3 linked regions of the Stegostoma tigrinum genome follow. The main gene of each other region encodes a partner of the protein of the gene in region 2 in a complex. Links are inferred from orthologs where the notes say so. Each region holds a gene or a part of one and is shown on either strand. Other genes may lie near its edges. The genes, in order: zinc finger FYVE domain-containing protein 9-like, ptpn23a and zinc finger FYVE domain-containing protein 16-like.

Region 1 (3,749 bases), on a different chromosome or scaffold from region 2:
CCCTGCGCTCCAAAATCAAACGTTAAAGAATAGAAGAGGTGTGAGATTTCAACCCAGAGCGTCACGATGGTGCAGGCTTGTGGTTTGCCGATGCTGACTTCTGTGGACGAAAGTTTGCTGAGAATGGTAATCATGGTAATTATTGACATGTCTGGAACTTGTACCATCTAGATTTTTAGGAAGGCTTGGAACAAAGTGAGTTGGCTTAATAATGAGATGCAAATACATGGGAAAGATGTCGCTGTGCAAAAGTGTGATTCTTTAAGAGCGTCAAAGTTCAACGCGAAAATTACGTTTTCTCGAAGTGAAGATTCTGATGTTTTCGTTTTCATTATTTTTCCAACTTTGTTGCCATTGTCTATGCGGGAGCAGAAGGACATTCAGCATATGTGCAATTAATAACTGTATGTGATAGAATAGCATGCAAGAATGTCTAATAAAGCATGCAGGCTCCTCCGCTTTATTGAAAGAAATATACAGTACAACATCAAGCAAGTTGTGATAAACTTGTACACATTTCAGTATTATGTCCGGTTGTGAGCACTACAGTTTTGGAAGACTTTAAGCATACAGCAAAGTTAACATGAATCATTCCAAGCAGCGAAAAGTTCAGCTACATGATTAGACTGGGGAAATTGGGTCCTGGCAAAGAGAATGTTGAGATGAGATTTTGATGGGCATATTCAAAATGATGAAAGAGTGTGACAGAGTAGATAGAGCGAAAGATTTCCTATTGCGGAAGAGCCCAAAACCCGAGATTAAAGCTAACCAGCAAATGAAACAATGTCAAAACTTGAGTTAAACCTTTTAAAATGCACTGCCCGAGAGTGTGATGGGGATGGGTTCGATCATGCCATTGAAAGAGAATTGGGTCATTATATAAGTAAGGGAAACAAAGTGCGGCGCAAAAGTTAAAAAGGTAGGGGGACATACCTAATTCAATTGTTTCTGGCAAAGCGCCAGCATGGAGAATATGGGCCGAATGACCTCATTCCATGCGGATTTTAAATATCTAGGCCGTCTTTGTTTATGAAATTATCTGGACAGTGTTTACTCTTGACCGCTGCTTCAATGGAAACGAAGCAACAAATGCGCCAAACAGTTTACAAGCCATCGCTGTAACGTGCTCATGAAAAGAACCAGTCGCTGCTCCGGGAGTACGGATCTGAGGAGCTGTTCGCAGAAGCAGGTAAGATATAGACCAATTGAAAATAGTCGTTCAAGTCCTAACTATCTGATTGGCGATTCGCTCAAGCGGCGTATGTTCTGAGGATACGGATTGGTCAGTTGAGGGGTCGTGTCTGTGGAGGGTGGGCGGGAGTGACTGGTGATTGGTCAGATTGGATGGCGCGGTCGGATTGGCGGTTGGAAGGCTGCCGCTGGTATTTTCCAAACGTCAAGCGCGTGATGGATGGCTGTTGAGTTGATGTCGATGGAGAGGGTGAAGCGTTGCGGATCTTGCCTATTAAGATGCAGAGTGGATAATAGCGACCAACGGTGTGGCCGGCGACATTCTTCAACCCCGTCTTGGAAGCGATGAACCCGCGTCTGGTAAGGAAACAAAGTCCGGGAGCGATGTGAATTGTTTAAAGGGATTTGGACCGCCCTCCGTGCGACCCCGACGGCTCGCTGGATATTGCGCCTGCTGAGGAGATGGCAGCCGAGGGCAAGCGTGTGCTTTGCGGATATTACCGAAGCACTTACTCCCATGCTTCGGGTAGGCCTAAGAAGACAGTGTTGAAATAGTCCACCGCCTGGCTTTCTGAGCACGATTTTTTTTTCGGGAAGGTGTGTGTGTGTGTGTGCGCGCGCGAGAGAGATTGGTTTGTGCCTTGTCTAGCAAGTCTGCAAATATTTGAATTTCGTCATTAGTCCTAGATTTAAATGCTGCGGATTAAAGCAATCGTACATGGCACAGAAGGTGGGGGAGGGTGGGACTCATTCGTTTATTTTGCAGGGTGTAACTCCTGGGCTTGACGGCACTACTGCGTTTTGACTAGGAATAGATTTGACTTGGCTTTCATTAACAGAAAGCATAACTGCAAAAGATGTGTCCTGATCTGTTTGTAAAAACTGCTTCGCACCTTCGTAAAACACGTAATCTTCATAGACAAAAACCACAAGATTTTCGCAATTCCGAACAGTGGGTGCAGAGGTCATACAGCCCTTATCGTCTCCCGTCAAAACAAAATGTGCCGCAGAATCATGCTAAAAAGTTTTCTCATTATTAACCTCCGGGTTCTGTTGTAAAGTGCAAACGACGACAGAGACAAAATAGTGCAGGACGCTTTTTGGATCCAAAACAAATGAGATCAGTCGTTGGTTTTAGCCAGTTTTACCCTACGATGTCTAGGGAATATTTCTGTCTCCCAACAACTTTGTTCTTAAATATTATAAATTGTAGCAATGATATTGAGTAATGCTGAAGGTTCGCTGCATACTTTTTATGCTTACTTTTTTGGAGCACAGGGACGAAGAAACGACTACACACAATTCAACCGAAGGTTTCGAAATTCAGTGATCCGTGTCAAAATTCATCTTTAACTTTTAGATTGCTGAGTGTACAATGATTCTTAAAAAAGTTACTTTGTGTGATTCCTTACTGGAAAGGAACAATAAGCTTTGTATGACAGTAGTCCTGCAGTTGCTAGTTGCTGACTGCCGTGCATTTAGTGTGGAAAGCAGGTCTGGCTGTTTCGTAAAGAGGGAGAGCGCTAAGTTGGTACCGTGAACGAATTATGTCAGTTTGTTAGAGGATTAAGAAATTAAGTTTGCAATTTAGTTGCGATTAACATTTGAGTTTTTAAAGGGTGAGATGGGAAAATGTGTTTATGAAAAATGCTTGCTGAATTGGGATTAGTTAACTGGAACAGAGATTAAGGAATTTTCACCATTGTAAATTTTGACAGTAGTAATGAGGAAGAAAATTTGGGATTGTCAGTACTCCTGTTTATAGCTGCTTCTGCCAGGAGATCTGCTGTCATGGCATGCCACGTTCATCTGCCCTGCTGCATTCTCGTGTGTCTGCTGTAGCTCGTTTGTAACCATGCCATGACATCTGCGATTCAACTGTGCCTATGTCAACCCCTCTTCTGCCCTCCACTAGAAGAGATCTCTGCAGCATTTCAGTTCCGATCTCAAAATTCTTACTTTATTGGGTGTTGTTTTTCTAAGAATTATTTTTGTTTTTGGCCTTCATTTGACTTGTATATGGAATTTTTTAACATGCTGCTTAATGTCCATGTTCTTAATAGATAAAAAAGTCAAGATTTTATTTTATAAAATGGCACTGTTCAATTCAAATAGCTCATGAGATGGTACCATAACCTATTTCAAAGGAGAATTATGCACACGTGGAAGGGAATAAGCAATTTGAATTGCTTTGAGTCTTTCACTGCCTTAGCACTTGCCAAAGCATTTTTCCAGTTTGGTGATTTTGGGTTCAACATTAAATGTTGGCCAGGTTGTGTGGAGACCTCTTCCACCCTGTTAAAATACAGATTGTATTTCTCCAGATGTGCTCTAGTTTACTGCTTTTATTTGAGTAAGATGCAACACTATTTTCCAGCTTGTTTTTTCAGCTAAGATTATGTGCTTAAGTCTCTGTAACAAGACTTGACCTTGTAACTAAGATGAGTGTGCTATTGCTGAACCAAAGCTACTGCCAAAGAAATATGAGATTTATGTAGATGGTTGCAGTTGAACAAGTTTCTTATTGTACTTAACATTTTGACTCCAATTTTTTTTGT
Region 2 (3,749 bases):
ACTAATCTTCTGAACAGTTTAACATATAGCCAAACATCTATTTTATTTCCCCATAACCTGTACCTGTTTCTAATTAAATAATAATCCAATGCTCGGCTGAATACCTCCATTAAATCTACCGATCATACTTCCAAACAGTGCAATCCATACCGTAACTACTCACTGTGAGAAAAAGGTTTTCCTCACCTCAAATTTACTTCTATTGCAAAGTATTTAAAAACTAATCCCCTCTGGTTCTTGATCTACTCTGCCAAAGCCCCTCATGATTTTGAAAACATTAGTCAAATCCCCTCTTAGCCTTCTCCTCTCCATGGAAAATAGTCCCACCCTAAGAAATCTTTCCTAATAACTGAAGTGGCTCATCCATAGAGCAATTTTTAGAATTGTTTTTAAAAAAGATTACACTTTCCAGATCAGTTTAATCCAGGGAGACTGAGGAAATATCAATAAAGACCCATCTGACCCTGATAATAATCTCCTATAACTTCTTCTGTCAGACAGAAGATACGGGAGCCTGAATACATGCACCAACAGGGTCAGGAATAGCTTCTTCCCAGCCATTATTAAACCTGATGAAGGGACTCTCTAGCCTCAAACACTGCTGATCTTGCCTAGCACGTGCCCTGTGCAATGTAACTTGTATGCCTCTGTCTATATCTTTTTGATCCGTATATCTTTGCTTCCTATGATCTGCCTGTACTGCTCCTAAACAAAGCTTTTCACCATAATTTGGTACAGGTGACAATAAATCAATCGAAATACAGTAACAGAAAGTGGAGGTGAGATTTAGACATCTCCACGTATATGCCGAAGAACACATTTTGACATTGAGAAAATGATGCTGCCTTATACTCCATGTCAAATCATGAGACATAATCAAATGGGGCGGTCACAGCTGGGGGACACACATAACACAAGGAACTGCAAAGTAATGCAATGGCTGGAAATCTGAAATAAAATCAGAGGTGTTGGAGAAACTCAACAGGTCTGGCCATATCAGCAGAGAAACAGTTAATGTTTTAGTCAATATACAAGAAGGTCAATCATCTCAGGTCAAGAATTCCTCAGGGTAACATCCTAGGTCCAAACAGCTTCAGCTACTTCAATGACCTTCCCAACAAGGTCAGAAATGTGATATTTTCTGATTCAGTGACATTTCCAACTCCTCAGACACTGAAGTAGTCCAAACCATATACAACAAGGCCTACTCTTTAGGCTTGAGCTGTCAAGTGGCAAGTACTATCCCCAACCCATAAGTAGCTGGCATGACAATCTCTACCAAGAGGAAATCTTACCATCTCCTCTTGTCAGACAATGAAATTACCATCATTGAATCGATTACCACTGACCAGAAACTCAACTGATCAGTAACCACAAACTGTGAGGTGGTTAACTCACGAGTCAGGAGTGTAATGGAATGCTTTGTATTTGCTTGGATGAATGCAGTCCTGGCATCACAGAAGAAACTCATCACAATCTGGAACAAAGCATTTCACTTTATTGGCACCCACTGATCAACTAAAACATTCACATTGTCCAGCACCATTTACAAATTACTGCCACGCATTTGACCAACACTTCTTCAACTGTACCATTCAAACATGTAACTTCTGGCACCTGGAAAAATGAGGGAAGTAAGGCCATGGGAAGATCACCACTTACAAGTCCATTGGTGCAGCATTCCTGACTTGGAACTAGGATGGAGGCAAAATCATGTAACTTTTCTTTCCCAGCCGCACCAGACGGGCCATTGAGATTCAAGAAGGTAATTCCAATCACCTTTCAAGGGCACTTAGGGATGGACAACTAATTTTTGATGTTGACAACAATGTCAACATTTAGTGAAATAGTTAAAAATTTGTATGTTGGGGGAAAGAGGGAGAAAAAAGGCATACAGCAGCTGGTTGTTGGGTCATCCAATGACTGTACCTCCCTCAGTACTGACTGCTGCATCCATCTTGATTTGTCTGGTCAAGTTCTGGAGTGGGATTTGAACCCACAGTGTTGGAACTAAAGTAATATGAAACTATTTTTAAAAAAAAAACTCAGCTGGTCAGACAGCATCTTTCACAAGGAAGGTCATGATTGTGATGAAAGGATGCCTCAACGTGAAACATTAACTTTGTTTCACTCCACGGCCATTGCCTGCCTTGTTGAGCATTCCAGTATTTTGCAGCACCTTTGATCTGCATTATGTTGGGTGTCTGCTGACAGCTGACTGTTACACTCATCATGGCGTGATGGCGTTGAATGCCCTTTGTGAAGCTCATCTTAGGTGAAGAATAACATCAAGGAAAAAAATGGTTTGGTTCAGCCTCAGACGTTTCGCTGTCCGAGTCTGCAAGTTAATAGCGAATGGAATGACGAGCAATCAAAAGGAACAGCAAATCTATTTAAAAACAAGATGCCGAACTCTTAATGTTAAAGGTGGTAGGCGCAGGGCCCGGATACGGTTCCTGGGATTCATAGGGGCTCAGCAGAAACATTCAGGGGCCTCAGTGACGCCAGCGGAGGCCGTCTCCTCCTCCTCCTCCTCCCAACCGAACAGCCAGAGTCTGGACGCCTTGGCGTTGTTAGTTCTCAGAATAATCTAACTCAGATGAAGAACACCAAGCCCTGCTTTCGATCTTCGGCCGATTCTCCGTCATTCTTATTTACCTGTCGGACTGCACTGGCGAAAGGAAACTCCCCGGCTTCCTTCAAATCCAGCCAGATCATCGGCATCCGCGGCACGGCCTCCATGTTGGAAGGACAACCGAGACCAGCCAGTCGTGGCGTCACCCAGCGGATATGACGTCACGTCGGCACCCTGAGCCTTGTGGGAATTGTAGTTCACCCCCGCGCTCTCTGGGAGCCTTCACCACACTAAGAAGGGGCGAAAACAGAAGTTGCTGGAAAATCTTAGGGGGTCTGGCAGCATCTGTGAGGAGAATTAACGTCTCGGGTCCGGTGAGCCTTCAAAACTGATGGTGGCTCAGAAGATATCGGTTTATACGCAGAAGGTATCGCATTTTCTGACGTTGCACGCTACCTATTATTAGAATGTGGAGGTGCCGGCTTTGCACTGGGCTGGACGAAGTCGGAAATCACTCGACACCAGGTTACAGTCTGACATAACAAGGTGTGGAGCTGGATGAACACAGCAGGCCGAGCAGCATCAGAGGAGGAGGAAGGCTGACGTTTCGGGCTTATTCGCTTCTTCAGAAATGGGAGTTCCTACTATCTCTGAACCAGGTTATAGTCTAACAAGTTTATTTGAAAACAAACAAGCTTTCGAAGGGTCAAATAATAAGTCGCTGCAGGTCATCCAAACTGTTAGATGGTGTGAATATAGTGTCAACAGCTGAATAACGAGCAAAGGGATAACCTATAGTCTGATTAAATGAGGCAGAGAGATAATTACAAAAACTTTAAAAATAAGGTGGTGTCAGAGACGATCCAAATGACTGGAATAACATGATAGGTATAACAGTTACATCCTGAGTTGTTGTAATCCAAAACTGTGCAAACCAATTACGGTCGAGAGATCATAATAATTTATCCAGGTGGTGGTGACGAAACAGGACAGTAAGGAAGATTTTCCAGATACAGGACAGTGTGGTGGGGTCACATGTAATGTGATTATGAACCCAAGATCACGGCTGAGGCTGCCTTCATGGGTACAGAGCTTAGCTATCAGTTTCTGCTCGTGATTCTGTGTTGTGTATCTTGAAGGCTGCCATTGTTTTAGTGTCTGCATGGTGTCACCA
Region 3 (3,749 bases), on a different chromosome or scaffold from region 2:
GCAGTGGTCGAGAACACCCTTGACTGCGTCTCCCGTGTTTCCCACAACACATCCCTCACACCCCGCCCCCACCACAACTGCCCCAGGAGGATCTCCCTCGTTCTGACACACCACCCCACCAACCTCTGGGTACAACGCATCATCCTCCGACACTTCCGCCATCTACAATCCAACCCCACCACCCAAGCCATTTTTCCATCCCCACCCTTGTCTGCCTTCTGGAGAGACCACTCTCTCCGTGACTTCCTTGCCCGCTCCACACTCTCCTCCAACCCCACCACACCCAGCACCTCCCCCTGCAACTGCAGGAAGTGCTACACTTGTCCCCACACCTCCTTCCTCACCCCCATCCCAGGCCCCAGGATGACTTTCCACATTAAGCACATGTTCACCTGCACATCTGCCAATGTGGTATACTGTATCCATTGTACCCGGTGTGGCTCCCTGTACATTGGGGAAACCAAGCGGAGACTTGGGGACCGCTTTGCAGAACACCTCTGCTCGGTTCGCAATAAACAACTGCACCTCCCAGTCGCGAACCATTTTAACTCCCCCTCCCATTCCTCAGACGACATGTCCATCATGGGCCTCCTGCAGTGCCACAATGATGCCACCCGAAGGTTGCAAGAACAGCAACTCATACTCGGCTTGGGAACCCTACAGCCCAATGCTATCAATGTGGACTTCACAAGCTTCAAAATCTTCCCTTCCACCACTGCATCCCAAAACCAGCCCAGTTCTTCCCCTCCCCCCACTGTATCCCAAAACCAGCCCAGCCTGTCTCCACTTCCCTTACCTGTTGTTCCTCTCTCCCATCCCTTCCTCCTACCTCAAGTCGCACCTCCATTTCCTACCTACTACCTCATCCCGCCTCCTTGACCTGTCCGTCTTCCCCGACTGACCTATCCCCTCCCTACCTCCCCACCTGTACTCTCCTCATCTTCTTTTCTCTCCATCTTCGGTCCACCTCCCCCTCTCTCCCTATTTATTCCAGAACCCTGTCCCCATCCCCCTCTCTGATGAAGGGTCTAGGCCTGAAACATCAGCTTTTGTGCTCTTGAGTTGCTGCTTGGCCTGCTGTGTTCATCCAGCTCCACACTTTGCTATCTTGGATTCCCCAGCATCTGCAGTTCCCATTATCAATTGAGCATAACATGGCTGATTATAGAATCATAGAATCCCTACAATACAGACAAAGACATTTGGCTCATCAAGTCTGCATCAAACAGCATCCCACCCAAACCCACACTATCCCCATAATTTTGCATTTAATACAGCTAATCCACCCAGCCTGCTCATTACTGGACACTTTTGGGCCATTTACGACAGCCAATTCACCATGTATGCCTATCTTTGGACTATGAGAACGAACCTAAGCTACCAGCAGAAACACACACAGACACAGGGAGAACGAACAAACTCCACGCAGACAGTCACCTAAGGTTGGAATTGAACCGGGGCTCTTGGTGCTGAGGCAGCAGTACTAACCACTGCACCACTCCATCTGCAAACTGCCACATTCATCATATTAACAGACTCACAAATAAAGTTCATCAATTAATCCCAAAAAATAAAGTAAAGTAGAGGTGTAGGAAGATAGCTCAAGAACAAGATATTTAGAAATGTGGCTGGAAGTAAATTTGGCAGCATACAAGAAATCTATCATTTTGTAATAGTACCAAAGGGAAGGATGAAAAAGGCACTTGCAAAAAATGCTTAATCAAACCCAGGTAAAAATCTGTGATCATTCAAATAACATATCACTAACTAATCAGCAACTGAATATTACAGAATGGTAAATTCAAGGAAGAACAATTAGTAAAACTAAAAGAAGCAACTGCAAATTGCCTTGCAAAAATTAAGTGAAGTGAAGAGTAAGAATTCTTAATTCTCCCAAAGCAAAACATGGCATGAGCAAAGCTACCAACCTACATAGATGTTAGTACAATAAATTGATGAAATGCAAGCAGAATGCCATTGACAACATCCTGTTAAAGGTACAACAGTTTTTTTCCAGAAAAATTGGTTTCAGAGAGGATGAGAAGTGGTATATTTTAAACATTTTAACATGTTGATTAGACAGATTATGTAACATACATCCAGTAATATTCGCAATATAAGTATTACGCACGAAGGTACTTCCCAAATTTACAGAAACAAAACAATATTAAAACAGTACAGTTAAAAAGGTTAAAGAATGATAATCCAGGCTTGCTCTCGTGAAATGACACATAGTAGCTACTATGTCTCACGTAACGAAGTCAGGAGAATTTCGGTGCAAGTTAACATAACCAAGGCAAAGAATAAATACAGCGGCATTCTTCAATTTCACTAGCAAGAGAACTTAACAGCACAGTGCTCAGCTCTCTGTTCCTAAAACCAGAACCATTCTAACATATTCACTGGGAGCAATGAACTGCAGGGTTACCAGCGGTCAAATAGAAACTATTATGAAGTCCTTGGATAAAGTCTGGAAGGAGAGCGAAGGCCTTCGCTGTCGTCCCCGGTCCCTACTTGAGATCTGGAGACACGGGACGAGTATGTGCCAGCAGCAGGACCGTAATTAACCAGGGGTGGGGGTGGGGGCTTCAGCTATCGGGACGAGATCCGCTTAAGTCCTTCGAGGTGGAGGAAAAAGGGAGGCAGTTATCTCGACCCTGGGGTTGTGGCAGGGGATGCGAGGGAACAGGGCGGTGGAAGGGGCGGTCAGGCCGTCAAGCCCGGATAATTTTGTTTTTGTTTACGCCCCACTGCGTCGACGGTTAAACAAAACCGAATGAGTTCGACCATGATCACTCACCATAGCTGAGTTACGGCTTCCTCTCCCGGGGTTTTCTGTGTGTGTATTGGGGGAGGGGAAAGGCCAGACACAGCGCATGCGCGGCGCTGGGTGACCTGGCGCGGGGCAGGGGGTCAGCGGTCACCACAGGAACCGGGGCGGGGCCTAAGGCTCCAACGGTCACTGCCGAGCCCAGTGTCTACGCTCCGCTAAAACAAAGTAAAGAACTGCGGAGCTGCGGAATCTAAAACAAATAAGAACAGCGATTGCCGAAGGAAACTGTGACAGCAACCTGTGAAGGGAAAAACAAGAGTTAACGTTTCGAGTCCGGTGACCCTTCCTTCACAAACACAAACGAAGTTGCTGGAGAAGCTCAGCAGATCTGGCAGCATCTGTGAAGGTAAAAACAAGAATTAACGTTTCGGGTCCGGTGATCCTTCCTTCAGAACTGTGCTCCGAAACATTACCTCTGTTTCTCTCTTCACGAATGCTGCCGGACCTGCCGAGTTTCCCCAGCCTTTTCTTTTTATATGTCACCGCTGCCGCATTCGTCCGGCTTCACCCTGAAGCGGCGATGCTCAGACGAATGAGCTGAGCATCCCTTACCAGCCAAAACACACCACAGAGAACAAAACCAAAGTTGCTGGAAAAGCTCAGCAGGTGTGGCAGCGTCTGTGAAGGAAAAAAATCAGAATTAACGTTTCGAGTCCGGTGACCCTTCCTCGGAACTGAGGACCACGGAGAATCATCCCGTCGCGTAAAGACTGCCCAATCAAAAAGGTGAGGAACTGAGGTTAAAAAATACCCCCGAGAGAACTGTGGATGCTGTAAATCAGAAACAAAAACAGAAATTGCTGGAAAAGCTCGACAGGTCTGGCAGTCGGAAACGGAGTTAATGTTTCCGGTCCAATTCTGAAGAAGAGTCACCGAATTGGAAACTTTCACTCTTGTTCTTTTCTCTGCACAGATG

The links.
Region 1: the proteins of ptpn23a (region 2) and zinc finger FYVE domain-containing protein 9-like are in contact, whole or in part, in a crystal structure (PDB 5MJY), measured with the Homo sapiens proteins. The link is inferred for Stegostoma tigrinum from reciprocal best matches to the Homo sapiens genes PTPN23 and ZFYVE9. Residues at the interface, in NP_056281.1 of Homo sapiens: Phe62, His125, Glu137, Lys141, Val142, Cys144, Thr145, His146, Gln148, Cys149, Leu189, Lys192, Ser193, Asp196, Arg198, Lys199, Leu202, Arg205, Ile206, Ala336, Leu338, Leu342, Asp348, Ala350, Val351; in NP_004790.2 of Homo sapiens: Glu2, Tyr4, Phe5, Gln6, Glu8, Ala9, Leu12, Asp13, Val15, Leu16, Asp17, Phe19, Glu20.
Region 3: the proteins of ptpn23a (region 2) and zinc finger FYVE domain-containing protein 16-like are in contact, whole or in part, in a crystal structure (PDB 5MK0), measured with the Homo sapiens proteins. The link is inferred for Stegostoma tigrinum from reciprocal best matches to the Homo sapiens genes PTPN23 and ZFYVE16. Residues at the interface, in NP_056281.1 of Homo sapiens: Phe62, His125, Glu137, Glu138, Lys141, Val142, Cys144, Thr145, His146, Gln148, Cys149, Leu189, Lys192, Ser193, Asp196, Arg198, Lys199, Phe201, Leu202, Arg205, Ile206, Ala336, Leu338, Leu342, Asp348, Ala350, Val351; in NP_001098721.2 of Homo sapiens: Asp2, Tyr4, Phe5, Ala8, Val9, Leu12, Asp13, Leu15, Leu16, Asp17, Phe19, Glu20, Gln21.

Annotation. Positions count from the first base shown.
Region 1 is NC_081361.1:64,112,675-64,116,423, forward strand, and holds the start of zinc finger FYVE domain-containing protein 9-like, read left to right. Parts: upstream 1-1,370; 5' UTR 1,371-1,551; intron 1,552-1,564; exon of another isoform or gene 1,565-1,788; intron 1,789-3,749. UniProt on the Homo sapiens protein: Early endosomal protein that functions to recruit SMAD2/SMAD3 to intracellular membranes and to the TGF-beta receptor.
Region 2 is NC_081358.1:98,494,937-98,498,685, forward strand, and holds the start of ptpn23a (tyrosine-protein phosphatase non-receptor type 23), read right to left. Parts: upstream 2,785-3,749; 5' UTR 2,743-2,784; coding exon 2,659-2,742; intron 1-2,658. UniProt on the Homo sapiens protein: Plays a role in sorting of endocytic ubiquitinated cargos into multivesicular bodies (MVBs) via its interaction with the ESCRT-I complex (endosomal sorting complex required for transport I), and possibly also other ESCRT complexes.
Region 3 is NC_081356.1:101,132,738-101,136,486, forward strand, and holds the start of zinc finger FYVE domain-containing protein 16-like, read right to left. Parts: upstream 2,882-3,749; 5' UTR 2,801-2,881; intron 1-2,800.